Callithrix jacchus: one gene and its partners. The protein of the gene in region 1 interacts with the protein of each later gene in a pairwise test. Links are inferred from orthologs where the notes say so. Each region holds a gene or a part of one and is shown in the gene's direction. Other genes may lie near its edges.

The links.
Region 2: the proteins of TLE5 (region 1) and PRR3 interact in binary tests that used the Homo sapiens proteins (3 or more experiments, as listed by UniProt). The two-hybrid records come from large-scale screens. The link is inferred for Callithrix jacchus from reciprocal best matches to the Homo sapiens genes TLE5 and PRR3.
Region 3: the proteins of TLE5 (region 1) and KRT40 interact in binary tests that used the Homo sapiens proteins (3 or more experiments, as listed by UniProt). The two-hybrid records come from large-scale screens. The link is inferred for Callithrix jacchus from reciprocal best matches to the Homo sapiens genes TLE5 and KRT40.

What each region holds. Positions count from the first base shown.
Region 1 is NC_133523.1:2,834,083-2,843,789, reverse strand, and holds the start of TLE5 (TLE family member 5), read left to right. Parts: upstream 1-4,506; coding exon 4,507-4,533; exon of another isoform or gene 4,534-4,534; intron 4,535-5,375; coding exon 5,376-5,473; intron 5,474-9,401; coding exon 9,402-9,465; intron 9,466-9,707. Other genes in the region: uncharacterized protein LOC128930549, read right to left, coding at 3,693-4,508. UniProt on the Homo sapiens protein: Transcriptional corepressor. Acts as a dominant repressor towards other family members. Inhibits NF-kappa-B-regulated gene expression. May be required for the initiation and maintenance of the differentiated state.
Region 2 is NC_133505.1:35,347,906-35,357,612, forward strand, and holds the start of PRR3 (proline-rich protein 3), read left to right. Parts: upstream 1-4,736; 5' UTR 4,737-4,777; coding exon 4,778-4,883; intron 4,884-5,599; coding exon 5,600-5,662; intron 5,663-9,707. Other genes in the region: GNL1 (guanine nucleotide-binding protein-like 1), read right to left, coding at 1-88, 506-601, 771-978, 2,001-2,072, 2,186-2,337, 2,475-2,611, 2,975-3,140, 3,550-3,622.
Region 3 is NC_133506.1:92,280,376-92,290,082, forward strand, and holds the end of KRT40 (keratin, type I cytoskeletal 40), read left to right. Parts: coding exon 1-44; intron 45-123; coding exon 124-249; intron 250-518; exon of another isoform or gene 519-580; intron 581-1,908; coding exon 1,909-2,129; intron 2,130-2,630; coding exon 2,631-2,730; 3' UTR 2,731-3,128; downstream 3,129-9,707. UniProt on the Homo sapiens protein: May play a role in late hair differentiation.

The sequences.
Region 1 (9,707 bases):
TCCTATTTGATTCAGGCAGAGGTGGACCAGGGAGGGTGTACTCGGGAGTGAGTTCCTTTCTTCAGGCGTAAAACTGAAGACAGACAGGGCACGGTGACTCACACCTGTAATCCCAGCACTTTGGGAGGCTAAGGCGGGAAGGTCGCTTGCATCCAGAAGTTCAAGACCAGCCTGGGTAACATGGCGAGACCCCATTTCTACAAAAAACAAACAAAAATTAGCCAAGCGTGTGTGTCCCACACGCCTGTCGTCCCAGATACTCGGGAAGCTGAGGCGGGCGGACTGCTTGAGCCCAGGAGGTCGAGGCTTGGGTGAGCAGAAGCCACACCACCGCACCTAATAAAAAATAAAAAGTTAAGGGGGTGCCAAATACCTAAGTCATCAGGATAAACACTATTTTGGACAATCTTTTTTTTGAGATGGCATCTCTGTCACCCAAGGTGGAGTGCAGTGGCGCTAACTGAAAAATGCTGGTGCTCTCGTGGCAACGCTGCCGGCGAGTGGCACCCCTCCTGCAGGAAGTAAAAATAAATAAGTAAATAAGCTGGGCGCGGCGGCTCAGGCCTGTAATCCAAGCATTTTGGAGGCCAAGGTGGGCGGATCACCTGAGGTCGGGAGTTCAAGACGAGCCTGACCAACATGGTGAAACCCCGTCTTTAAAAAAAGAAAGAAAGAAAGAAACATCTTGCTCTAAACCCTCCCATGGCTCCCCAGTGCCCTCCAGGTAAAATCCCAGCTCCCCAATCCAGCAGCACGTGCCCTGCCAAAAGCCACACTGAGTAGTGGTCAAAGGCCCAGGGTCAAGGTCAACGGCCTGGGATTACATCTAGTGTGATTTCCGCCAAGCCACTTCAGCTCTCTGTGACCCGACTGGGGAGAACCTTTCCCCGTCTCTTTTTTGTTTCATGTTTATTTTATTTATCTTTTTCTTGAGACGGAGTTTCGCTCTTGTTACCCAGGCTGGAGTGCAATGGCGCGATCTCGGCTCTCCGCAACCTCCGCCTCCTGGGTTCAGGCAATTCTCCTGCCTCAGCCTCCCGAGTAGCTGGGATTACAGGCACGCGCCACCACGTCTGGCTCATTTTCATATTTTTTGTAGAGACAGGATTTTGCCATGTTGGCCAGGCTGGTCTTGAACCCCTGACCTCAAGTGATCCACCTGCCTCAGCCTCCTAAAGTGCTGGGATTACAGGCGTGAGCCACCGCGCTGGCCGGTTTCCTCGTGTCTAAAACGGGCGTGAGCACAGTCCCTAAAGGTTAAAGTGCGTAAGACCCTTGGGGTGTAGAAAAAACACACAGGCCTGGGTCGGTTGGCTGATTATTTATAGTGAGGCCCACAATTCTGGGCCTCCCTCTCGGAAGGAAAACAAACAAAAACAAATCAAAAAAAACTGTTTTGGAAAAATGATTCTTTCACAATGACTCTCTCCTTCACAGGCCCAGGTCCCTCTGGGTGGCCCCACCCTGACCTCACCGCTGAAGGTATCTGTGTCCAGCTCCGCTTCCCCCGAAAGTGTAGGGGCTTCGAAAATGGGAGTGTTTGCCGGGCGCGGTGTCTCACGCCTGTAATCCCAGCACTTTGGGAGGCCGAGGCGGGTGGATCACGAGGTCAAGAGATCGAGACCATCCTGGTCAACATGGTGAAACCCCGTCTCTACTAAAAATACAAAAATTATCTGGGCACAGTGGTGCCCGCCTGTAATCCCAGCTACTCGGGAGGCTGAGGCAGGAGAATTGCCTGAACCCAGGAGGCGGAGGTTGCGGTGAGCCGAGATCGCGCCATTGCACTCCAGCCTGGGTAACAAGAGCGAAACTCCGTCTCAAAAAAAAAAAAGAAAAGAAAATGGGAGTGTTTGGTCCCCGGCGCACTGATACTGGAAGGCACCTGCGTACATAAACCCTGGCAGGTGGCCTCCCAGGAGAGAGGGCGTCTGGTCCCCACGGCGGTGGGGGCGGGGCAGCAGGGTTTTGCTGGTGGCAGCAAAAACATGGGCTTTGTGGTTGGCTGAAGGCCTGACTCTTAACAAGTAGTAAGTATTCATCTTAAAAACCCACGGCGGGTGCGGCGGCTCACACCTGTAACCCCAACAGTCTGGGAGACTAAGGAGGGCAGATCGGAGATCGAGACCATCCCAGCCAACATGGTGAAACCCTGTCTCTAATAAAAATACAAAAATTAGCTGGGTGTGCTGGCGCACGCCTGTGGTCCCAGCTGCTTGGGAGGCTGCGGCAGGGGTATCACTTGACCCCCGGAGGCAGTGGTTGCAGTGAGCTGAGATCACGCCACTGCACTCCAGCCTGAACACAGAATGAGAGTCCGTCTCAAAAAAAAGTAAGTCCAAAATCCTAATCTTTGTTCCTTCCTCCTTTATTTATTTTTATTTTTATTATTTTTTTTAAGATGGGGTTTCAGCATGTTGGTCAGGCTGGTCTTGAACTCCCAACCTCAGGTGATCCGCCCGCCTTGGCCTCCAAAGTGTCTGGATTACAGGTGTGAGCCACCGCGCCCGGCCAAGATAATTAATCTTGATCACGGACGGCTCTCACCTTTATCTGCCAAGGTAAGGAGCCTTGGGTTCCAGATCCATTTTACAGCTGAGCACAGTCGAGGCCAACCATTCATCCGAGGGGGCAGGGTGCCTAGTGGGTGATGACGATGAAGAGACTGTACTTAGCACCTGCCAGAGGAAGACCCTGAAGTCACAGCCTTATTTCAGCACCTCTTTGGGACCTGTTCTCCGCATGGCAGAGAGAGGGATCCTTTCATAACTGCCACCAGGTCTGCTCCCTCCTCTTCCCACGGCCCTCCAGGGATTCCCACCTCACTCAGAGCAAAAGCACCTGTAATCCCAGCTCTCTGGGAGGAGGAGGAGGCGGGAGGATCACCTGACGTCAGGAGTTCGAGACCACCGTGGCCAACATGTGAAACCCCATCTCTACTAAAAATATAAAAATTAGGTGGGCGTGGTGGTGGGTGCCTGTAGTCCCAGCTACCCAGGAGGCTGAGGCAGGAGAATCGCTTGAACCCAGGAGGCAGAGGCTGCAGTGAGCCAAGATCGTGCCACTGCACTCCAGCCTGAGTGACAGAGCAAGACTCCATCTCAAAAAAAAAAAAAAAAAAAAAAAAAAAAAAACCACCAGGTCCTGTCCCTCTTCCTTCCACAGCCCTCCAGGGCTCCCACCTCACTCAGAGCAAGAGCCCTGTACTCCCCGAGGCCCACAAGCCCTTTTGGAACTGGCCTGTGTCACCAGCTACAGAGTTGCAGGGCACAGTACAAAAGAAAACTGAAAGGCCCCTTGTTCGAAAATGATTCGGAATTTCAAAACGCAGCAGTAAAGATTCACCCAGGCAGAAGCCCTGCTGGGGGCAGGGGGCCTGGGCAACAGCATGAAGCCCCAGGCCCAGGCCCTGCCTCCATCCCGGGCATCCTGGTGCCAGGCACAGTCCTGCCCCAGGGCCTTTGCACCTGCTCGTCCTGCCTCTGACTGGCACTGCCCCCATCCCCTGTTCTCGCTCCTTGGGGTCCGTTTGTGGAGGAGGAAGCCCTCTCTGACCCTCCCTGCCCTCTGTTCAACCTTGCACCTTCCTACCCCGCCATTGTCCCAGCCGATTTTCCCCGCAGAGGCGTCCCCACCATCTGACCTGCTGGGAATTCAGCTCCTGAATTTATCTCTGTCTGTCTCCAGGCACCTCACCAGGGCAGGGGCCTTGTACCCCCCCCACCCACCCCAGGGCCCTGGAGCAGCCGGGCCTGGCACACAGGCCCTCCATAAAGGTGTCCAAAGAATGGCTTCCCTGAGGAAGGCGGCATGACCGCTGCCTTTCTGCAGAAGAGGAAACTGAGGCCCGGCGAGAACCACCGCCCAGCCAGAGCCAAGGTCACAGAATACGTCCCTGGCACGCGTCCAGGTCGTGCCACCGCAGGGCCGGCGGCTTCGACCTGGGCAGCCGGGTCCCTTTCTCTGACAGATGGGGAAACCGAGGCCAGGCCGGCCGCCAGGCTGGGGCGGGTGGCGGGGGCCGCGGCCCGGGGCGGGGGCGCGCCGGGCCCAAGGTCACCGCGGCGGGCGGGCCCCGGGGAGGCGGGCCGGGGTGGGGATCCGCAGGCCTCCCCGGGCGCGCGCGTCCCCCCCCTCGGCGGCGCGCACGGGGCACGGGCGGCGGCGGCAGGTGGAGCCGGAGCCTCCGCAGCAGCCGAGCCGCGGCCACCGCCGGCGTCGCCGCCATTAGACAATAGCGGTGGGGCCGGGGAGCGGGGAGGCGGGCGGCGGGGAGGGGCGGGGAGGGGCGCCGGGCGCGCAGGAAGCGGGGCCCGGGGCGCGCCGGGGCCGGGCGCGCGGGGAGGGGGCGCAGGAAGCGGGCGAGGCCGGGCGCGGGAGGCGGCGGCGGCGGCCCCGGGAGCTGCCGATCCGCGCCGGGACAAAGGCGCGGCCGCCCGGCGCCCCGAGCAGCCCGAGCCGGGGCGCACAGCCGGGGCGCAGCCCGCGCCCCCCGCCGCGACTGACATGATGTTTCCACAAAGCAGGCATTCGGTAAGCGGGGCCCGCCCGCCCGGCGCCCCCTCCCCGCGCCCCCGCCCCGCGCCCCCCCAGCTCCCGGGCCCTGGCTTCCCTCTCGGGCTCCGAGCCCCGCGCGACCCCCGTCCTGCCGCCGACCCCCGGACACCCCCTCAGTTCCCGATTCTCCCCCAGCTTCCGGGCCCCGAACCCCCCCCCAGCTCCCGGCTTGGCGCCCCCCCCCCCGCCCGCCGGGACAGGCAGGGCCTCGGACGGCCTTGGCCTCGGGCCTGGGGATCTCCGGGAGCCCCGCCAGGCACCTCCAGCGCGGGGCTCCTTTGGGGGCCTGTGGTGGGGGGGACAATCCGAGGCGTCCCCCCTCCCGGAAGAGAGCGCGTCCCCGAGGAAGGGCGCTGGGATTCTGGGGTGGGCTCCCCCCCGGAAGATTTAGGGCGCCGAGAGAGACCCCCTTCCCCAAGGGGACTTTGCAGGGGGGACTCGCTGCCCCTCAACTTGGGGAGGGGGCTCCCTAGGGCGCGTTTCCACCCCCCTCGGAGGCACCCACTCCCGGCGCTTTGGAGGGGCGGTAGAGGGCGTACCCTGCCCCCCACCTAGGGCGGGCCTTAAAACGCACCCCCCACTGCCTGGGGGTGGCGGGGGACGGGGCGGCTCCGGGCGCACCCACCCCCTCAGCTTCCCCCGGGGAGAGGCGGGGGCAGGAAGCGCGGGTGGGGGCCTTGCCAGGGGCGGTAAACACGGGCCCAGGAAGTGGGGCAGGAGGGGGGGCGCCGCAGCTGCGCGGCCGCTCCCTCCTGGCCCGCCCTTGAGGGGGGCCTGGCCCACGCCTGGGCCTGACCGGGGCGCCCCCCTCCCCACAGGGCTCCTCGCACCTACCCCAGCAACTCAAATTCACCACCTCGGACTCCTGCGACCGCATCAAAGACGAGTTTCAGCTCCTGCAAGCTCAGTACCACAGGTGAGGGGCGGGTCGGGGTCCCTGCGCCCGAGAGGGTGAGCCCCCTTGTTCTGCACGGACGGCAGATTGGGAAAATAACGTGTGCTAGGCTCCGACCGAATCGCTTGACAAATACTGAATTCCTTTCTTTAAACAGCCCCAGTTTGTAGAGGAGGAAACCGAGGCACAAAAAAGTTAAATAATTTGCCCAAAGACCCACCTGTGTGACTTCAGAGTCCCTCCCTCCTCCCCAGTCTCCCCCAAGCCCCCCCCCACCCCCCGCTGGATAAAAGACCTTGCGCCAACCAGCTTAGAGCCTGGACTCACCATCCCCCCAACCCCAAAACACATTTTGTAACCTGGTTATGTCTGTCTTTGGCCAGTTTTGGAGAAAGGGTTCCCAGCGCCCATCACGTTCTCCAAGGTGCTTCTCCTTTCAGAAATCTGACCTTTCTGAAGAGTTTGCCATGTAGCTGGTCTAAGGCGAGGGAACTATTGAGTCCTCTTAAAGAAATGTAAGCCCAGGCCGGGCGGTGGCTCACCCTTATAATCCCAGCACTTTGGGAGGCCGAGGCGGGTGGATCACGAGGTCAAGAGATCGAGCCCATCCTGGTCAACAAGGTGAAACCCCGTCTCTACTAAAAATACAAAATTAGCTGGGCACAGTGGTGCGTGCCTGTAATCCCAGCTACTCGGGAGGCTGAGGCAGGAGAATTGATTGAACCCAGGAGGCGGAGGTTGCGGTGAGCCGAGATCGCGCCATTGCACTCCAGCCTGGGTAACAAGAGTGAGAATCCGTCTCAGAAAAAAAAAAAAAGAAAACAAAAGAAAGAAGCTTAAGCCCAGAGAGGTCAGGGATTTCCTCAGGGTTAGTATCCACAGCACTGAGGAAGGGGCAAGGCTGAGGTGGGCACCAGGTCTCTCTCCTGGTGTAAGGATGCAGATTCCCACGTGCCCTGCTCTGGAGGGGCGCAGCAGACCTGGGAGTCTGGAGGAAGTCAGGCCACGCTGAGGCCCACGTTTCAGCCTGGGGGCCCTCTCCTGACTGCAGTTTGCCCATCCTGGAGGGACCCTGGACTTCCTCCAAGTAGAAAGGGGAATCTCGATTTTGAAACTATCCAAACTTTCGGGGTACTCCCTGTGTGCTAAAGACCATATGTGCTTCCTCGTGAGGTCCGGCTGTCGTGCCCATTCTCAAGATGGGCACACTGAGACCCCGACAGTCAAAAGCACTGGAACCAGCTTTCCAGGAAGGCCCCAGAAACTTCTATTTGGGTCCCTGGAAGCATAGGGTTTGAGACTGCCTGGTGGGCCCTGGGGCTGACCTGATTCCACAGGGAAGAGATCAGATGGCCTTCGCAGTGCTGTGTGACCTCCAGTAAGCCAGACGCCCTCTCTGAGCTTTGGAGTCTCCATCTGCTGGGCCTGGGCTTTCTGCTATCCAGAAAGCCCTGCCATATCAGGCACACACTGGATGTTCAAGGCATAACAGCCCCTGGGTGGCCGGATCAAGTCTCACGCTGTCGCCCAGGCGGGAGTGCAGAGGGGCAATCTCGGCTCACTCCAACCTCCGCCTCCTGGGTCAAGTGATCTCCTGTCTCGGCCTCCCAAGTAGCTGGGATTACAGGCACGCGCCACCACTCTCCTAATTTTTGTATTTTTAGTAGAGACAGGCTTTCGCCATGTTGGCCAGGCTGGTCTTGAACTCCCGATCTCAGGTGATCCACCCGCTCGGCCTCCCAAAGTGCTGGGATTACAGGCGTGAGCCACTTTGCCCAGCCCTGATTTTTTTTTTTTAATGTTAGCAACAAATGCACTTTTTTTTTTTTTGAGACGGAGTTTCACCCTTGTTACCCAGGCTGGAGTGCAATGGCGCGATCTCGGCTCACCGCAACCTCCGCCTCCTGGGTTCAGGCAATTCTCCTGCCTCAGCCTCCCGAGTAGCTGGGATTACAGGCACGCGCCACCATGCCCAGCTAATTTTTTGTATTTTTAGTAGAGACGGGGTTTCACCATGTTGGCCAGGCTGGTCTCGAACTCCTGACCTCAGGTGATCCACCCGCCCCGGCCTCCCAAAGTGCTGGGATTACAGGCGTGAGCCACCGCGCCTGGTCAAGTGCACTAGAGGAAAGCTGGTGGAGGCCAAACATCCCCAACTTGGCACCCTCTTCTCCGGTAGAGCACAGTGCCAGGCTCCCTGGGGGTCATAAGATCCATGGGCATGGGCTGCTACTGGGTTATCAGAACTTACTAACATTAGTATCGCTAAAGTTGGTATACAAGCCCCCACTGCTAAATTTGACTGGCTTTAAAAAAAAATCCCCATGCATTTATGGGGTGCTTGCTGTATGCCGGGTACTGTTCCAGAGCTTTTCTTGTCTGAGTTCATTGAGTCTTCCCCACTGCACCCTGCGAGGTGGGTGGCACCTCACAGAGGAGGAAATGAAGCCCAGAGAAGTAGCGGAGTCTGCCTGGAGTCACACAGCAGGGAAGACGCAGGGCCAAGCTCTCAACCCAGTCCGGGAGGGGCCGGGGCTGGTCGGAGCAGGTCAGCCAGAGCCAGGTCCGCAGGGCCGCTGTGCTGGGTTGGATTTAAATGGGTAAAGGACACGGGCTTGTCCACCTCCCCCACTGCATCACGAGTTCTTTTCCTGGACTGGGAGGCCTTCCTACCCTCTCCCTCCGGCGACGACACCCTCATGGGGGCTTTGAGAAACGCCTGGAAGCTCATCCCTCCCGGGAGGGCCTGTAAGAAGGAAACTGTGGCATAAGCCACCTGGACGGCCCAGGTGGAGTTGGAGAAATGGTGTGTTTTGTCACAGCTAAATAAAAAAGGCTGCCGGGCGGGGTGGCTCACGCGCGTAATCCCAGCACTTTGGGAGGCCGAGGTGGGTGGATCATGAGGTCAAGAGATCGAGACCAGCCTGGCCAACATGGAGAAACCCCGTCTCTACTAAAAACACAAAAATTAGCCGAGCGTCGTGGCGAGCGCCTGTAATCCCAGCTCCTCGGGAGGCTGAGGCAGGAGAATCGCTTGAACCCGGGAGACGGAGGCTGCAGTGAGCCGAGATCGCGCCACTGCATCCCAGGCTGGCGACAGAGCGAGATGCTGTCTCAAAAAGAAAAAAAGACAGGAAGGAATAGAGGGAGCTGAGGGGTCTCCCCAGGAAGCTCAGGCCCCCACGAAGCTAGGGTCCCCTTGGGAAGGCCAGCTGGGAGCTGCCTTGCAGCCCTGGACCCTCTCAGCCTCTTTAAGATTTCTATTTGGGTCTGGAAAATTTTCCCCTGTGGTTGAAAGCTTGGGCTGCTTCTTGGCTGTGTGACCTTGAGCCGATTGCTCGCCCTCTCTGGGTGTCCACTGTGTCATCTATAAAAGGAGCGTGACAATGACGCTGCGGGAACATCCGGATCGTGAGAGGTAAAGGCTTGTGAAAGTCTCTGAGGCCGCGATGCCGAGCGCCCTCCGACTTCTGGTGTTTCTATAATGTCCGTTCTTTCTCCTCCACCAGATCTTCAAGGGGGGTTTCATCACCCCCTCCTTACCGTCAGCGGCCCTGGCGCTCTCCCCTCGCCCCCGAATCACAGGGAGCTCAACTTACCCACTTCCCTTCCCCTCAACTCAATGCCCTCAGCCCCACCAAAGCTCCTGGCTCCCTCGGCCAGGCACAGCAGGTGGCTCCCATCTGTAATCCCAAGCACTTCGGGAGGCCGAGGCAGGAGGATCACTCGAGCCCAGGAGTTTTTGAGACCAGTCTGGGCGACATAGGGAGACCCCCATCTCAATTAAAAAATTAAGAGTTGTTGTCTGACCCTCTGAGAACGGGCTGATTGCGCCCTTTCGGGGGGGTCGAGGCATCTTGGAGCCTCAGTTTCCTCCCCTGGATAACAGAGGGTGGGGGGTCCCGCCCATCTGCCACCAACCACCCGGTCTCCCCCTGTGCCTCCTCAGCCTGAAGCTGGAATGTGACAAGTTGGCCAGCGAGAAGTCGGAGATGCAGCGTCACTACGTGATGGTAAAGTCACTCCACCCCCAGGTCCGGTGCTCGGGGCGGGGACAGGGCCTCCCACACCCCACCGCCCCGCCACGGCCAGCTGCTACCTAAACCCGGGCCACCTCCCCTGGGAATCGTGCGGGCTCAGGGCCTGTTCTCCACTCAGCCGGCCCCTGCTGGGCTGAGCCTGCCTCACTAGCCTGGCAGCTGGCCGAGGAGGTGGCTGAGTTGCCAAGCCGCCGGGTTGCAGACCAGGCCTGCCA
Region 2 (9,707 bases), on another chromosome or scaffold:
TCTTCGTCCTCCTCCTCCCCGGAGCCATTACCCCAGGTGGCCCCAGCCACATCCCGAGCAATCTTCTCCCGCCAGCTGCTCAAGTCCACTGCTCAAAGAAGGAGAAGATGAGGAGGTTCTCCCCGGGGTTGCTGTGTATGATGGCACATACTGTGCCCTGCACAGATGATGTAAGATGGCACCCTCTGGAGTTGTACGGTGCCAACCTGAACAAAAGTAGGCCAGAAAACTCTCCCAGCAGTCACTTGACCCCACCCTCCCTGAAATCATGCACATTTCTGTGTCTGAGTTTCTGAAAAGTACTGGGAAGGCTGAAGGCAGTAAGCCACTGAGGCTCCCAACTACCTGCTGCCTCTCATCCCACCAAGTCAATCTGCTCCTTATTCTTTCCCTTTCCCTGGCTTCTCACACACATCCACCAGAGAGGTGGAAAGGTGAGCCAAATGATTCTGCATCTTGGGTCTCCCCCATGGTCCCCAACAGCCCTCCTCTAAGGGCCACATACCTTTTCCGACAGTGATGGCTTCACAGGCTCTCAGCAACTGCTCTGGCCCCAGGGCCCGAGTCCATCCTCTCCCCCGCCTCCGACTCTTCTTCAAGACTGAGATCAGAGCGTACAAAAGGACTGGCACATAGGCTTAGGTCTCTCATCTCTCCCAACACCCTTAGGCCTAAGACCAGGTGCCCCCTTGTCAACAAGCCTCTCTGTTCTCCCCTTTGTCCCCTGCCAACTCGCCTCTCCCTAGCTGCCCTCCTCATTGCCTACTCACCACTACTAGGGTCCTGTGGAGTGCGGGGGTCCCGAGGGAAAGAGGTGAAAAGGACGACATGGAGCTGGGGATAGTGTTGGTGGAAGTAGTGCTTCCAGGCAACCACAAGAGCTGGCGGGGCCAGATCCACCTTGTTCAAAACCAGCACGAGAGACAGCCCAAGTTCTCCAGTCACGTACTCATAAAGTGCTGGCGGGAAATTCACAACCTAGGACAGGGTTGGTAAGAGAATGGAGCAGTAAGAGGTCAACCCAGAGTTCTCTGCCTCCAGCTGCCCACTCAGCAGGCATAGCTCAGAGACAAGACCCTGGCAGTAGCAGGTTCTGGGCTGAAAACTATAAACTACCCAAACTGAACAAGGAAGACAAAACAGGGTTAGTAATACTTCTGAGTTTCAGGGGGCTTCCTATAGGTCATGATTAGAGATGGAAATAACCCAAAACAAGACAAGGAAACAGCATCCCTTAGCACACTGAGGTAAAGGCTGGGATCGGAAATAGGGATGGGGTTAGGGTAGAAATTAGTCTGTTTTTGTGTGCATACAACCATGTAAGTGTGTACATATGCATTTATGCATGCATGCAAGTACGTGCCCATGTGTGCATGTCTGTGTATTAAGAATGTGACTGTGAAAATGTGTGCAAACATGCCTGTGTATACTGATATGCACATGAACACATATATGTGTTTGTGAGTATGTGTGTATATATCATTAAGAAGGAGCTCCAATCTAAACGTCCTCACAGACCTCTCTTTCTCCCACTTGAGGACAAGAGTGAAGTGGCAGAGCCAGGATTCACACTGGGCAGTCCAGCAGCAGTCTACAGCCTTAACTACTACTCTAGCATTCCAGGTAGGTTCAGTAGCAACTGATATGGCTGTGCTAGAGAAATGAGATAAGGAAGAAAGGGCATCTTTGGGCTGGGCAGGAGAAAGTGCCCAACTGCATTCATAGAATCCCTTGAGCTCCACACTTGGATTTTCTATTGGTCTAACTGTGGTGGGCTAAAAGACAGGACATGGTGTTTTGAAGAGAGAGTGAACTGGCCAAAGGAGGAGTGACAGGCCATAAGACAGAATAAAAAACTGAGTTCCTAAGACATCAGCACTAGGTAAAGGTTAGAAAGACAGGAAGATGGATACCTGTCTCCCAACTCTTGCCTCTGACCTGTGCTCCCCAAAACCTTTTCTCCCTCCTCCCCCTTGCCCACCCTTATTGCTAGTACTCACTGGATGTCGGATATCAGTGATAAGCAGGACAATGTCAGACATCTCTAACACCCGCCACAGCTGCCTCCATGTCTAAGAAGACAAGATCCAGAAGAGAACCTCAACACAGAGTCTCTCTCCGCCTGACCCCAAACCAATTTGACCATGGGTCACTATGCCCCACTCTTGTCCCTACTCTGAGTCACCTCCAGATTGTGCTCAAAGTAGCTGAGTTTCTCAGAGGAGTAAGCCCCATGAATCTTCCCAAGATACTCTTGGAAGCTCCGTTCCTCTTGGCTCATTAGTTGCTCCTTGGACATCTCATAGCTCCAAGGAGGACGTCGAGGAAAGTCCAGAACTGGGAAATCAGGAAGAAGTCCAAGTGTGAGGAAATTTTCAGTATTCAAGAGTACATCCCAGACCCCTCCTTCCTCACAGTCGGCTCTTACCTTTCCAAACTCCTTCCCAGCCCATGCCTGTCTTGCTCTCACTCACCTGAGCCAGGCTGATAGACCTCTCGGATGTCCAGCTCCAACACTTCAGCACTGACCGGCTGTAAAACTTGCTCACGGGCTGCTCTCTTTCTCCTCTCTACCTCCTCCCTGCTGTCTCTTTCAAAATGCAGTCGGTATCTAAGGGAACAGGGACCGAGATATCCAGCGCAATCCTGTGGCCACAAACTCCCATTTTCTCCCCTCTTGGACAATCAACTTCGCAAAGCATTCTCTCCAGAGTTGTTGAAGCCTCCTGTCTCAAGTCAGCCTTCCCCCAAGTTCCTCTTTCACGCAATATTCAGCCTCCTCCTTTTAAAAGACAAATTCTCTCCAGCCTCTCTGGAAAGGAAGATTGTGACCTGCTCTGGGGAGCCGAGAGGCCAGCGGAGAACTGTGGCATCCTAGGCCCACCGTCTTCACCAGTAGCATCCTGCTTTCCCCCAAAGCTCTGACTTCCGGGTAGGCGGGAAAGTCGTAACCAGTGCCCCCTCCCACCCTCACCGATTTGGGTCGTAGCCTCGCGGACCCAGCCCCTGAGAAGGCTGCTGGTTAAGCCTGCGGATATGATGGGTCACAGACTCCCCGTCCGAGGTATCGGTCTGTTCCTCCCGCCGCTCCCGGCTCCCGCTGCGGCTGTTGGAACTGGAGCGTAGCCCATCTTGAAGCCCTGCGGAGAGGGGCGGGTGACGCCAGGGCTGGCCAGCTCTCAAGCGCCGTAAGACCCTCTCCCGCGTCGGCCTGACTCTCCTTCATCCCACTCAACTTCTTTGGAGGCTCCGTCCTCCCAGCCACCCTGTTCGGGACCCTCCCGGATGTGCGCGGGGGAGTCACTCCTCCAGGGAGCAGTGCGGACCGTGCCCTGTACGAGCTGAAGGGATTCCCCTCCCCCAATTCTCCATCTTTCCCCACCCCTTCCAGATGTAGGGGGGGTGGGGAATCCCCTCCGCGAAAGGCCTCGAGGGTCAGCGCTCTCCCACGATCCCCTCCCACGCCCCCGAGAAGTGCAGCTAGCACACCCCTCCTTCCAGATGTGCGGGAGCCTGAGCCCCGCCCCCTCCTCCCGCTCCCGCACTGACCTCTCTTCCGCTCCCGCTTGTCCTGCAACTGCTTCTTCTTCTGCTTCACGCTGAAGGGCTTCTTCCTCGGCATGGCCCGGACCAGTCACCTGGCCCGCCCTCCACCGAGCTCCCGCCGCCTCAACTAACTGCCCCCGGGGCAGCCCCCGCCGCAGGGGCCCGGGACCCTAGAGGAGGCGGGGCTAGCAGGTGACGTCAGCGGGCGGGCCCGACCGAATTGCCGCGGCGGCCGCGATGGAAGACGACCGAGGGAGATATACAGTCACTTCCCTCCAGGAGCTAGGCGAGAGGATGATGCGGGGTGGGCTACTGGCACGTGAGAGCCAGTGGCACCGAGAGGGCGCCCCGGCGGCGGCGAAGGAGGCGCGCGTGGGAGGACCGGGCTAACTCCGTCACGGACGCTACCAACTTGCGTTCGGAGAAGGGGGGATGCGTGTCATCACTACTTTGCGCTCCCGGGAGAAGCTACCACTCACCTGGAGGGGGCGGTGGAGTGGAGGGCGGGGCCTACTACCTAGGGGAGAGGAGGCGTGGACTCGCTGAGACTACAAAACCAACCCTCGGGCTAGACCTTACTGGAAAACCGAGACTGTGCGTCCCGGGTAAGAAGCCAGGTTGCTGAGCTACACCGGGGGCACGATCAGAGGTCTTTAGGGGAGGGCGGCGGTCTGAAGAGTCCTGGGTGCCGACCTGCTGGGACCCAAATTCCTTGTGAGAACGATGATAAGTAGCAGGTTTACAGATGAGTGCAAAAGGGGACGAGAAGGGAAACCCAAACGGCACAAGGACTTTGGAGGGAGGTCAGAGGGCACGAAGTTGTGCCTGCAGCTGTTACCATAGTAACCGGGGACCGGATGTGGCGATCTTACGGTGCGACAGTCCTCTTCTCAGGCCTTCTGGCCAGAGAGCCTCTTGACTCTGTGGCACACTCCGAGGAGCTGGTTGTGGTGGTTTCCAACGAGGGAAGAAGAGAGGAATTTTTTTCAAAGCAGTTATAGAAACGCAGCAAAGGGAAGGTGTGAGGTTGCCACCATGCCTAGCAGAGACGGACAGAGGCAGTTTACTCCAGAATGCGGCCGCTGCAGATGTTCCCCGCAACGTTCCGGAAATGGAATGGCGGGAGCCTCATCCTCGCTGCCCACCGCCCCGCCGGAAGCGGAAACAGAATCCCCGTGTGCCCCTTCCTCACTGCCCTCCAAATCCCGCTGCAGCCATTGCGGCAGCCACGATGCCGAAACGAAAGAAGCAGAATCAGCACCAGCCACCATCACAGCAGCAGCCCCCACTGCCCGAGCGGGAAGATACTGGAGATGAGGAGGATGGGAGTCCCATCGGTGAGGGGTCGGGGAGGGACGTGCACATGCCTGTCAGCCCGTCCGGGCGAGGGGCTAGGGGCTGGTAAGGTGCAAAGGAGGGGGCTGTAACGGAAGGAGGAAGGGCGCACGCGCTGGGGAGGAATGGAAGGGGCTGTCCCAAATGGAGCCTTGAACGAGGAGTTCTCTTACTGGAACCATCAACCTCAAACTGGCCCCAAACCTTTCTGGAGAAGGCGGGGGTGGCGAGAATAAAGAGCTCTTTTGCGCAGTCGCAGAACAATAGGGGAAAGGGACAGTAGAGATGTTGCAGATTGTGATGACTGGGATGACAGTTTGTATCCAGACTGACTGAAGAGGTGCAGGTGCAGCTTTCTCTGAACTAGTCCTCTGGCCAAGGGGAAGGAGAAGAGAATTGACTGGCCAGCAGTTGAGGGATTGGTTTATGTCTGGAGACACTTGGATTGTTTTGGATAGCGACGGTACGGTGAGGAAAAGAAAAAGTTTTGTCTTTTCCTGCATTATCCCCTTTGATTGAATATCTACTCTTTGCAAACCCGAAACAGCTTTGCAGAAAAAAGCGCAGGTAGATGGGGTGAGAACTCCTAAGACTGCTGAAAATATACCTGACTTTACTGGTTGAATTAAGAAATGAGTAATAGAAGAAAAACACCTAAGAACAGAATCATCAGTCCCTTAATCCATTCTGATGACCGTATTTTCATGTCTGCTCTTAGGACCACCCAGCCTTCTGGGCCCTCCCCCCATGGCCAATGGAAAACCTGGTGACCCTAAGTCAGGTGAGGAGGAAGGGGCCCTGATCCTTGTATTAGGTCGTGGAGAAGAGAGCAAGGGAGGGGATAAAACCCAGAAAGGACTTAAAAATCAAAAGATCAGGGATTCCATACCTAAATGAATGGAGAAAAGTTGTATATTTGCTGATTGAAAAACTCGATGTTGTTAAAATGTCACTTCTTCCCAAACTGATGTATAGATTTCATGCATTCCAAGCCAGAATATCTACAGTGTTTTTGTAGAAATACACATTTTTATAGGGAAATGCAAAATATCAAGGTGAGAGACTGTCAAGATGATCTTGAAGTGGGAAGGCTTGCTATGAATATCAAGATTTGTAAGCTGGGCATGGTGTCACATGCCTATAGTCCTAGCTACTCAGGAGACTGAAGTGGGAGGATCGTTTGAGGCCAGCCTGGGCTACATAGTGAGACCCTGTCTCTAAAAACAAGAGAAAAAGACTATAAAGCTATAATAGTTACAACGATGCAGTTTGGACACAATTATAGACATAAGTCAACAGGACTTAGGTCCTGAAGACTCCAATAACAGACCCATACATGTGTGGACACTTCCTTTATGATGAAGATGGAACTGAAAAGTTGGTCTTTTCAATAAATGATACTGGATCACTTGGATATTCATGTAAAAAAATGGAATTTCACCTTGCACTCATAATCATATATAAAGATCTATTTCAAATGGACTGTAGATTTAAGTATAAAAGGTAAGAGAGGCCAGGTGCGGTGGCTCACACCTGTATTCCCAGCACTTTGGCGGGCCGAGGCGGGCAGATCACCTGAGGTTGGGAGTTTGAGACCAGCCCGACCAACATGGAGAAACCCTGTCTCTACTAAAAATACAAAATTAGCAGGGCATGGTGGCACATATTCCCAGCTACTCAGGAGGCTGAGGCAGGAGAATCACTTGAACCCGGGAGGCAGAGGTTGCAGTGAGCCAAGATTGCACCACTTGCACTCCAGCCTGGGCAACAAGAGCAAAACTCCATCTCTAAAAAAATTAATAAATAAAAGGTAAGAGAATAATTATTCTAGACAATAAATGGGCTGGGTGCAATAGCTCATGCCTGTAATCCTAGCACTTTGGGAGGCCGAGGTGGTGGATCACCTGAGGTCAGGAGTTCAAGACCAGCCTGGCCAACGTGGTGAAACCCCACCTTTTAAAAAAAAAAAAAGAAAGTAAATGTATTTTCATGCTCTAAGAGTTCTTAAACAGACCAGAAATGCCCATATACATACTAACCATAAAGGAAAGATTGGTAAATTGAACTGTTAGAAAATATAAACTTGCTAAATGACACCATCAAGAAATTAACAGGAAACCATACAGTAGAAGATAATGGCAACAAATATAACCAATAGGCGGGGCGTGGTGGCTCACACCTGTAATCCAAGCACTTTGGAGGCCAAGATGGTCGGGAGTTCAAGACCAGCCTGACCAACATGGTGAAACCCCGTCTTTTTAAAAAAAAAAATACATATATATATATATAACCAATAAAGAGCCTGTATCTATAATACATAAATAACCTTTCCAGACAAGCTATTTGAAAAACTGACAAAAGACCAGAACAGTTACCTTATTAAAATGCAGATATAAACTAATGATCTAAATGAATAAGCATCAACATCATTAATAAATGCAAGACAAAAATATACCACTTTGAAATTAGAACTCTTGGCCAGGTGTGGTGGCTCACACCTGTAATCCCAACACTTTGGGAGGCTAAGAAAGGTGGATCACCTGAGGTCAGGAGTTTGAGACCAGCCTGGCTAACACAGTGAAACCCTGTCTCTGCTGGAAATACAAAAATTAGCCTTGAACCCAGGAGACAAAGGTTTTTTTTTGTTGTTGTTGTTGTTGTTTTATTTATTTTATATTTTTATTTATCCCTGTAATCCCAGCTACTTGTGGGGCTGAGGTAGGAGAATCACTTGAACCCAGGAGGTAGAGGTTGCAGGAGGTGGAGATCATGCCATTGCACTCCAGCCCGGGCAACAAGAGTGAAACGCTGTCTCAAAAAAAAAAAAAAAGAAAGAAAGAAATTAGAACTCTGTGTACTGCTGCTGAGATTATAAAATGGTAAACCTACTATAGAAAACAATATGAAGATGTTCCTCTAAAACAATTAAAAATAGAACTACTCAGAACTCCTGCTTCTGGATATATATCCAAAAAAAAATGGAAAACAGGGTCTTGAGATTTGCAGACTCATGTTCATAGCAGCAACCCACATATCCAATGATGAAAAAAAAATGTGGTGTGTACATACAATGGAATATTATTCAGCCTTATGATGGAAGAAAATGCTGTCATATACTACAACATGGATGAACTTTGAGGACTTTATGTTAAGTAAAGACATAGTGTATGATTCCACTTATGTGAGGAGTCTGAAGTCAAATTCAGGGGCCAGGCATGGTGGTTCATGCCTGTAATCCCAGCACTTTGAGAGAGCGAGGCAGGCGGATCACTGAAGGTCAGGAGTTTGAGAGCAACCTGGCCAACATGGGGAAACCCCATCTCTACTAAATACAAAAATTAGCCCAGCATGGTGGTACACGCCTGTAATCCCAGCTACTCAGGTGGCTGAGGCACAAGAATTGCTTAAACCTGGGAAGTGGAGGTTGCAGTGAGCCGAGATAACACCTCTGCACTCCAGCCTGGGCAGCAGAGCAAGACTTTGTCTCAAAAAAAATTATAAAAATAAAGTCAAATTCAAAGAAACAGAATGGTGGTTACTAGAGGCTGGGGGAAGGAAGATGGAAGAAGGGGAGTTTTGTTTAATGGGAACAGTTTCATTCAGTTTTGCAAGATAAAAAACTTTTGGAGATCTGTTTCACAACAATATGAATATATGTAACTACTGAACTATATATACACTTAAAGACAGGTAAGATGGTAAATTTTATGTGTTTTTTAGCACAATAAAAAGCAAACAAGATGAGACATGATGACTCATACCTATAATCCTAGCACTTTGGGAGACCAAGGTGGGAGGATCATTTGAGCCCAGGAGTTCAAGACCAGCCTGGGCAATGTGGCAAGACCCAATCTCTCATTTAAAAAATTAAAACACCACTTTTCACACTCACCAGAATGGTAAAAATTAAAAAACAATACCAAGTGCTGTCAAGGCTAAAGGACAACTGCTGGTGAGAGTGCAAATTGGTACAACCACTACGGAAAAAAGTTTGGGCTCATGCCTGTAATCCTAGCACTTTGTGAGGCCGAGGTGGGTGGACTGCCTGAGCTCAGCAGTTTGAGACCAAGCCTGAGCAGCATGGCGAAACCCCGTCTCTACTAAAATACAAAAAGTTAGCTGGGTGTGGCAGTGTGCACCTGTAGTTCCAGCTACTCAGGAGGCCGAGGCAGGAGAATTGCTTGAACCCGGGAGGCAGGGGTTGCAGTGAGCCAAGATCATGCCACTGTACTCCAGCCTGGGCAACACAGTGAGACTCCATCTCCAAAAAGAAAGTTTGGCATTATGCATGAAACTTGAGCATAACGTACACTCTATGACCCAGCAATACCTCTACTGCATATATACTCAACAGAAATGCATACATATGTGTAACAACATGTATAAAAATGTTTATAGTGGAATTTCTCGTTATAGCCCCAAACTGGATACCACCCACAAGTCTATCTGCAGTAGAATGGATAAATAAGTTGTTGTGTATGCATGCAATGGGATACTACACTGCAGCGAAATGAATGAACTACTTCTACAGGCAACCTGGATGAATCACACAAACATGATGTTGAGCGAAAGGAGCCAGACATAAAAGAATGCAGACTGTATGATTCCATTTTTTGTGAAGTTCAAAAACAGGCAAAAACTAACCTATGCTGTCAGGATAGTGGTTACCTTTGGGGAGGAGGGTGGATAGTGGGAAAAGGGGCACAAGGGGAGGATCTACTGAGGTGCTAATAAGGCCTTATCATTTGGTGGCGGAAAGTCAAGTGTGTCTACTTTGTGATAATTGGGTTGTGCACTTAAAACTGGTGTGTGTTTATGTATGCTGT
Region 3 (9,707 bases), on another chromosome or scaffold:
TGGCCAACAACCGCAGAGAAGCAGAAGAATGGTTCGCTGTTCAGGTCAGCACCCAGATCAAAAAAATGGCAGGCTTACAGACTTCTGCCTTTTTTGAATTCTCTAATGGTACCTGTGTTTCAGACAGAAGAGCTGAATCAGCAGCAACTGTCCAGCGCGGAGCAGCTGCAGGGCTGCCAGACAGAGATCTTGGAACTGAAACGCACAGCCAATGCTCTGGAAATTGAGCTCCAAGCACAGCAAAGCCTGGTGTGTGAGGCAAAGGCAGTGTCTGTTGTGTCACTGATAAGTCCGGCCCTGAGATGTTAAGCCCTCTTCCATATCTGGGGATCATATTTCCTTGCCTTTCCCAAGTACTGTCATTTACCCAGCTATTAATAGAAGCAGAAGTGACAAGTCGACAGCTCGTATTGCTCTCTAAGATGCCTCGCCTTCACTCTTGGGCTTGAGTCTGATGCTTCGGCAGCTTTCAGAGACAGGGAGGGGGAAGCAGAGACCTCCAGGCCAAGGTCACTTACTCATTCCAGCAGGTTTTAATTCTCCTTTGATTCAGGCCAGTTTTCCGGGCTCACTGTCATATCTAAAACAAAGAGTCATTTTCAAACGTTTCATCCTACCATTTCCTGGGATCTATACTTCAACCTGACACTTCACTGCCTCCCAGCCCACTCAAGCAACAAGAACACCATGCGTTCAAGATTACATTCACCCGTTCTGGTCAAGCACCACTGTGTGCATTTCATTAGGTCCTGCAGAGAGTACCTAGAAGAATGATGATAGCTGAGCATTCATCCTGTGAGAGGCATCATGCTCATTTAAGCCTCACAATAACTTTATGGGATAGATACCTTTATCCCATAACACAGATAAGGAAAACGGAGACTCAGATTAAGTAATTTGCAAAGGATGTAATTCTAAGAGGCAAACATGGAAGCTGAATTCAGCCAGTCAAATCCCAGAGTCTCTTCTCGCTCTCTGTTTAAATTTATTTTTTATTGATATATTGTAAATATTTATGGAGTACATGAGAAACTTTGTTAGATGCATAGAATGTGTAATGATCAAGGCAAGATATTTAGGGCATCCGTAACCTCCAGTATTTATTAATTCTGTGTGCTGGGAACATTTCAAGTCTTCTCTTCTAGCTATTTTGAAATACACAGTGTGTTGTTGTTAACTGTAGCCACCCTTCTCTACTGTCCAACATGCAAACATATTCCTTCTATGTAACTGTATGTTTGTACCCATTAACCAACCTCTCTTCATCCCCTTACCACACATATACCCTTTCCAGCCTCAGTACCCAGAGCCTCTTCTCTTAACAGCACTATACTATCCCTCCCTGCCAAGAGCCCAAACTCAATGTTTCCCCTCAAATGCTGTTGATAGTCCTTAAGCTTCACAAATACGGCGTGGATTGCTGCAGTCGTAGTGGTGGTAGTAATAGCTGACATGTAGAACAGTGGTAGTATGGCTGGCACTGTCCTAAGTGCTTTACACATACTAACTCTTAATCTTCACAACCCTCTAATGAGACAAAGACTTTGCATTCCCCAATATATAGAGAATAAAACTGAGGCTCATAGAAGGTAAATAATTTGCCACTAGTCACATAGCTAGAAAAGGGTAGAGTAAGGATTTGAAAGTAGGCACTGTTGTGGCTGGGCACAGTGGCTCACACCTGTAATCCAGCACTTTGGGTGGCGGAGGCGGGTGACCAGCCTGAGCAACATGGTGAAACGCCACTTCTACTAAAATACAAAAAATTAGCTGGGCATGGTGGCAGGAGCCTGTAGTCCCAGCTACTCGGGAGGCTGAGGCAGGAGAATTGCTTGGATCTGGGAGGCAGAAGGCTCTGGCCCCAGAGACTGCACTTCATGGTCCTTTGGACAATGTTTCCTCCTGCAGACAGACTCTCTGGAATGCACCGTGGCAGAAACCGAGGCCCAGTACAGCTCCCAGCTGGCCCAGATTCAGTGCCTGATCGATAACGTGGAGAACCAGCTGGCCGAGATCCGCTGCGACCTAGAGCGACAGAACCAGGAGTACCAAGTGCTGTTGGATGTGAAGGCCCGGCTGGAGGGCGAAATCAACACGTACCAGGGCCTGCTGGAGAGCGAGGACAGCAGGCAAGTTCCACAGTTACTCATGAAACCCCTCAGAGTCTCAAAGACGCTGATGTGAGAGAATCCTGTTTCCCCAACATCTGGCCCAGTTCAAACCTCCCTAATGTGTTCAGGGATCTTCTTAAAAGAGTGCTCAAAAGTAGCTGAGGCTAAGCACATGACATGAGAACTATTTTTTAAATATTCTAAAGGCAGATTAATTATTAGTGTCACATGTCATGCTGGCACCTCCCTTTGTTCCTGTTTTCCACTCACGGAAAATCAGGAATAGGCCTAAGATAACATTTGCAAATTCAAGAAAAAAGATAAAAGACTATTCAACTGCCACTGTGAACATGAAGTGGCAATTCTGGGCACAAAGAAGAAATAGCCTTTGGTCAATGCTATTGTGCAGAGTTTTTTTCAGAACGTAAATTATAGGGCAAGTTTTGACATGGTTTTTCTGAATTGCCATTTTATCAAGATTCCCTTGTTAAGCTTAGTTTAAAATCGATTTTCCCCCAGGCTTTCCTGTAACACATGTTCGACCACATGCACGCTGAGCAACACTTGTGAGCCATGCTCAGCCTATGTAATCTGCACAGTTGAAAACTGCTGTTTGTGAATGTGAAGGACAGCAGGTGGAGGAATCAAAGCCAGCAGCGTCCTAGAAAGGAGACGAGGCTTCAACCAGGGACACCCAAACCGGAAGCACAAGTCCAGGGGGCTTTCGTATCCCGGAATTGCCCTCCAGGCATCCTCAGTCTTTCTGCTTCACTATTTCCTCTCCTTCTGGCTTATTTGTGGTATGCTGGGAGCCCATAAAGCATTCTTGCTAATCTCCAAATAAAATATGTTTTCTTCCTTTAGCATGGTAAGTATAGCTCTGTGGCTGATTGCTGTTCGTGGAATATTTATCTTATGGCAAGGGAATCATCTAAACCCATAACCATAGTTTCAATGTATATAAACCCAGATTGAAAATATTTTTTAACTCCTGAAATACAAATAAATTAATGAACCCATGCAAAATGTCATATATCTTAGAAGATAGTTGTATGTATCTTTCTGAGAGAAAATTTAGGAACAAAATATGATAAAATTTATTTTTTGATTATGAAAGTACTAGATTCTCTTTTTTAAAATTTTGGCTCATTGAAAGGGAAGGGGTTACTTACAATTTCATCTTCCAAACAGCCATTGTCCATAGTTTGGGTTTTCCACATAGCTATAATCATACTTACATATGCACACAGTTGTGTAATCTTTCTTTCATTAATGTCATCTGAGCATTTTTAATTTTCATAAAAATGTAATGTTGTACCATCATTTTACTGGTTGCATAGTGTACCATAAGGTGCATTGGTCTGTTACTGGACATTTAGGTTATAAGAATAATTATTCTCATACATTTAAGAAACAAGGTAGAGAACTTCCAGAATGATGAAGTAGGTGCATATTTCCATATTCCTCCTTCCAAGTCTACCTAAAAATGCTGGAAACTACATATAAAATAAACATAAGAAGGCTCTGAAAGGTAGACGAAGAAGGCAAACCACCTAAAGGTATTGAGACCCCAGGAGTGACACTGTGGTGGGCTCCCTGGATTATCTTTTTATCTGATATATCCCAAAGTGGGAGCTGGAGAAACCAATAACCAGAAACACCAACAGGTGCAGACAAAACAAATAAACAGGAAGAGCTTGCTCTGCTTAGCTAAAGAATCAGAAAAGCAGCAGCCTAGAAAGACAGAAAACCTTAAGACAGTAACCACTCAACTCAGCCAGACACCACAGAAAATGTCCTTTCGCCCACCCCTATCCACACCAGGAAAGGCCAGGTAGCCAGTCCAGACTTCTGTCCTTCCCAGGCTGTCACAAGGCACTCAAACTTCCCCACTGGGGTGGAGTCAGGGAAGGCTAAGTGAGAGATCCAGGACTTTCATTCCTGCTACGAGATGTGGAAGCACCCCCCTTCCACCACCACCACCACCACCACGGTGTCAGTGGAGATCACACAGGCAGTCCAGACTTACCTCTGCAGGCTGCAGTGAGGCTCTCTCTTCTTCTCTAGGGCTAGTGTCACAAGAGGCCTGCTGGACAGCCAGGACTCTTTCCCTCCCCCAGCAGTACCAAGGCCACTCCCCCATGCAGTGTCAGTGGAATCTGCATGGAAGCAATACCAAGTTATTTCTGCCCCCCCCCGGCCAGGGTGGTATCTGCAGAGGTCAGGTAAGGAGTCTAAAATCCCCCCTCCCAGCAGTGATGAGGAGCCCTCCCCTTGGGTGTCCACAGAGGCAAAGTGAAGAGAACCTGTATTTCCACTCCCGCCTGTTCGGAATGAAGCAGCATCCCCTTCCCCTACCAAAACAGTGTCAGAGACCAGCTAGAACGGAAGATTAAATAATAACCTGAATTTTATGACATAATACCCCAACATCCAGGTTTCGATCAAAAATTGCTCTTCATACCAAGGACCATAAAATCTCAACTTACATGAGAAAAGACAGTCAACAAATTCCAACATCAAGAGGAAAAAGATGTTAGAATTAACCGACAAGGGTTTTTAACTTTTTATTTTTTATTTTTCTGGGTACATAGTAGATGTATATATTTTGGTACACTGCTGGTGGGAGTGTAAATTAGTTCAACCATTGTGGAAGACAGTGTGGCGATTCCTCAAGGATCTAGAAATAGAAATTCCGCTTGACCCCACAATTCCATTACTGGGTATATATCAAAAGGATTATAAATCATTCTGTTATAAAGACACTTGCACATATATGTTCATTGTGGCACTGTTTACAATAGCAAAGACTTGGAACCAACCCAAATGCCCATCGATGATAGACTGGACAAGGAAAATGTGGCACATATTTACCAGGGAATACTATGTAGCCATAAAAAATGATGTCCTTAGTAGGGACATGGATGAATCTGGAAACCATAATTCTCAGCAAACTGAAACAAGAACAGAAAATCAAACACTGCATGTTCTTACTCATAAGCATGTGTTGAACAATGAGAACACATGGACACAGGGAGGGGAGCATCACACACTGGGGTCTGTTGGTGGGGCTAGAGGAGGGACAGCAGTGGGTGGAGAGGTTGGGGAGGGATAACATGGGGAGAACCAGATACAGGTGACGGGGAGATGGAGGCAGAAAATCACATTGCCATGTGTGTACTTATGCAACAATCCTGCATGATTTGCACATGTACCCCAGAACCTAAAGTACAATACAAAACTTATGAAAGCAGTAGGAGAGACATGACACTTTACCAACAGAAGAAAACAATTTAAATGATGGCAGGTCTGTCACCATAATCCATGGAAACCAATAGGAAGTAGTACGATAGTCTCCAAATGCTAAAAGATAAAAACTGTCAAGCCAGATTTACAGACCCTATGAAAATATCCTTCAGAAAATCAAAGAGAAATCAAGATATTCAGACGAAGGCAACTTAAAAGATGTGGTTGCCAGGAAACCTACCTAAAATGATGATTAAAGAAAGTTCTCTAAACACAAACGAAACTATAAAATAAGGAAACTTGGAACATCAGACAGGAAAAAATATAATAAAAAATTAATATATGAATAATTTAAATAAATTTCTTTCTCTTCCTGAGTTTTCTAAATTAAGTTTCATGGTTGATGCAAGAAGTATAATACTGTCTGATCAGTTCTCAGTATATGTGTAGAAGATATTTAAGACAATTATATTAAAACGGAGGTGAGTAAAGGAATTTAAACAGAGGTAAGTTTTCTACGCTTCACTTAAACTGATAGAACATTAAAAACTAGTGGACAATGGTAAAAAATTAAAAGTTAAAAAGTCCCTGAATTCTAGGTTCTGCATAGGGACCCTCATGCAATAGCCTCAAACATTACCTGCTTTAAATGCAAGAAGCACTTAACGATTCAGGGACTCACACTTCTCAGTGTAAATTTAATATTTACAATTCATGGATTCCTCACTGGCTCTCCAGAGGCAGATAAGGCCTTCTTAGTCCTCAGCTACTGGGCTCAGGCTGGCCCTAGTGCCCATTCTTCCTATGTTGTGCACAACCCCTTTCTTAGAAAGACAGAGGACAGAGCTGTCAAGAACTTTCTATCACTTCCAGATTTGATCTTCCAGGGCAGTGTGGACTAGAGTTTTTACAGATGAGATTCTTGAAAATGACACTCAAAAAAAAAGAAAAGAAAAGACAGAAGCACTTCTAGAAAGTGCTGCCTTCTCAGTTTCTGTGGCAGGGAAGAGACAGCCCAAAGGTCTTCAACCGGACAACAGAGCCTTGCTAATACCCTGCCTAACTGCAAAGGGGCAACGGAGAGTAAGTCTCCCATGTGCCCAAATGGAGAGGACAGCCAGATATGCATGAACCCTAGAATCTCTTTCAGGACAGTCTTGAAACACACAGATGAGGAAAGGGTAGAGGGAACCCCAACAATAAATGTGCAGTGGAGGGACAGGGCAGGAAGAGTTGAGCAATGGCAAAGGATGCAGTCGGGCTAGAATGGATGGAGTGGGTCGGGGTCCAGGAATATGAGGTAAAGTCAGCTGCGTCGAGACTGTGGAGGGCCTTGATTGCCAGGCAAACAAGAATTTGAGCCTTGCTCTGTCTACAGGAAGGTTGAACATTTCTGCACTTGCAGTGGAGCTGTATGACAGTAGATAAAGAAGCTCTCCAAGGTGGAGTATATATTAAAGTGATTACAGGCTAGTCAGATTGACAAAAGTTAACAAATGACCTGGTGGCAGAAAAATAAAGGTGACAAATATCCACTATTCTGTCAGAAGTTTGATAATGAAAAGAAGGCAGAAGCCACCTTCATGGAAGAAGGGCCTTATGGTTATGGGTCAGACATATTGTAGGATCAGGTAACAGACGTGCTTATAGGGAAAGGAAAAATGATCCAATAGTAAAGAAGACATAAAGGAGGCAGGAAAAGGGGAGAGCCTGATGGATGACATGTTGCCCTGAAGAAATCAAAAGAGAATCAGCCATGGGAGGAAGAAACAACTCTGCTTGTGAGACACAAGAGGAAAAGAATAAAAATTATAAGACAGAAAGGTATGGAAGCAGAAAAAAACTCTGAAAAACTAACGAAGCAGAAACGTTAGGTTTTCAGTCAATTTTTCTGATGATTCTAAAAGGGATACATTCAATTTGTGAAATGTATATAAAAACATAAATAAGAAAATAACAATCATCAATAACTACAAAATGCAAAGAATTTCACTGCTAACCTCTTGATGTAGTTTCTTTGAGTCTTTTTAATACATTTTCAAACTTATAGACTATTGCAAACACTGCTATTTTATGGAGTCGAATTTATCGCATTTTTTACAGTTTCTTAATTTCAAGTCACTGTTACAATGGCCTTCCTCATCTGAATTTGTAAAATAATTCACCTTTATTTTCTTTTAGTACATTTATGACTTCCACTTTTCACATTTGAATCTTTGATCCATTTGTAGTTTAAGTATATGGATAAAGTATTGAACATCCGTGCAGCTACCCAGTTGTATCAAATCTTAACTTTTTATGTTAACCTTACTTTACTGAGATATAATTTTCTTTTCTTAAAATTATACTTTAAGTTCTGGGGTACATGTGCAGAACTTGCAGGTTTGTTACATAGGTATACATGTGCCATGGTGGTTTACTGCATCCATCTCCCTGTCATCTACATTAGATATTTCTCCTAATGTCAGCCCTCCTCAATCCCCTCACCCCCTGCTATCCCTCCCCTAGCTCCCCAACCCCCCAACAAGCCCCAACGGGTAATGTTCCCCTCCCTATGTCCATGTGTTCTCATTGTTCAACACCCACTTATGAGTGAGAACATGCAGTGTTTGGTTTTCTATTCTTGTGTCGGTTTGCTGAGAATGATGGTTTCCAGATTTATCCATGCCTCTGCAAAGGACATGAACTCATCCCTTTTTTTGACTGCATAGTATTCTATGTGTACATGTGCCACATTTTCTTTATGCAGTCTATCATTGATGGGCATTTGGATTGGTTCCAAGTCTTTGCTGTTCTAAATAGTGCTGCAGTAAACATATGTGTGCATGTGTCTTTATAACTGAATGTTTTAGAATCCTTTGGGTATATATCCAGTAATGGGATTGCTGGGTCATATGGTATTTCTAGTTCTAGATCCTTGAGGAATTGCCACACTGTATTCCACAGTGGTTGAATTAATTTGCACTTTCACCAACAATATAAAAGCATTCCTATTTCACCACATCCTCTCCAGCATCTGTTGTCTCCTGATTTTTTTAATGATCGCCATTCTAACTGGCGTGAAATGGTATCTCAATGTGGTTTTGATTTGCATTTTTCTAATGACCAGTGATGATGAGCTTTTTTTTCCATATGTTTGTTGGCTGCATAAATGTCTTAAAGGACTTCATGACTAAAACACCAAAAGCAATGGCAACAAAAGCCAAAATAGACAGATGGGAGCTAATTAAATTTAAGAGCTTCTGCACAGCAAAAGAAACTATCATTAGAGTGAACTGGCAACCAACAGAACGGGAAAAAAGATTTTGTGATCTACCCATCTGACAAAGGGATAATTTTCATGGACTAAAATGCCTCAATTGAAAGTATGCAGGTCAGACCGGGCATAGCGGCTCATGATTGTAATCCTAGTGCTTTGGGAGGCCAAGGTGGGAGGATCACTTGAGGTTAAGTGTTTGAGACCAGCCTAGGCAACATAATGAGGCCCCATCTCTATAAAAATCTGTTTTAAAATTAGCCAGGCATAGTGGCATGTACCTGTAGTCCCAGCTACTTAGGAAGCTGAGGTGGGAAGATCACTTGAGCCCAGGAGTTCAAGGTTGCAGTGGGCTATGATTATGCTACTGAACTCCAGCCTGAGCACTAGAGTGAGACCCTGTGTCTAAAAATAAAAATAAAAGTATGCCACTTCATGGAGTTTGAAAGCACATGAACTTGTGTAATCAACACCCAGATCAAGATACAGGATAGCATTTCAAAATGTAGAACATCAACCTTAGAAATTCCTTCTTGCTGTTTTCCAGCCAGCACATCTCTTCCACAGAGACAACCCCTGTTCTGATCTCTAACCATGCCAAAAATGAGTTTTGCCTGTTTTTGAAGTTAATATAAATGTAGGCATGCTGTGTGCACAATTTTGTGCCTGACTTCTTCAGCTCAACATGTTTTTGAGATTTTTCCATGGTGTCGTGAGTACAAGCAGTTCAAACACTTTTGTGTGTATAAAATAAATACGTTCATCTCTCTATCTCTCGTGGACATATACCTAGCCATAAAATGGCTGGGTCCTTGGTCCTTGGGGAGGTCCTGTGTGTGTGTGTGTGTGTGTATGTGTGTGTGTGTGCACGTGCGCGTGCGCCTGTGTGTAAAGTGCATGACTATAGTGCATATATATATAGTGAACGACTGTATAAATAAATACGTGTTTATTTTTATACACTATTTATATAGTCATGTACCACATAAGGACATTTCAGCCAACAATGGAATACACACATAAAAGATGTCCCAGAAAACTATAATGCCATATTTTAATGACATTTCAGTGAACAATGGAATACAGATACAAAA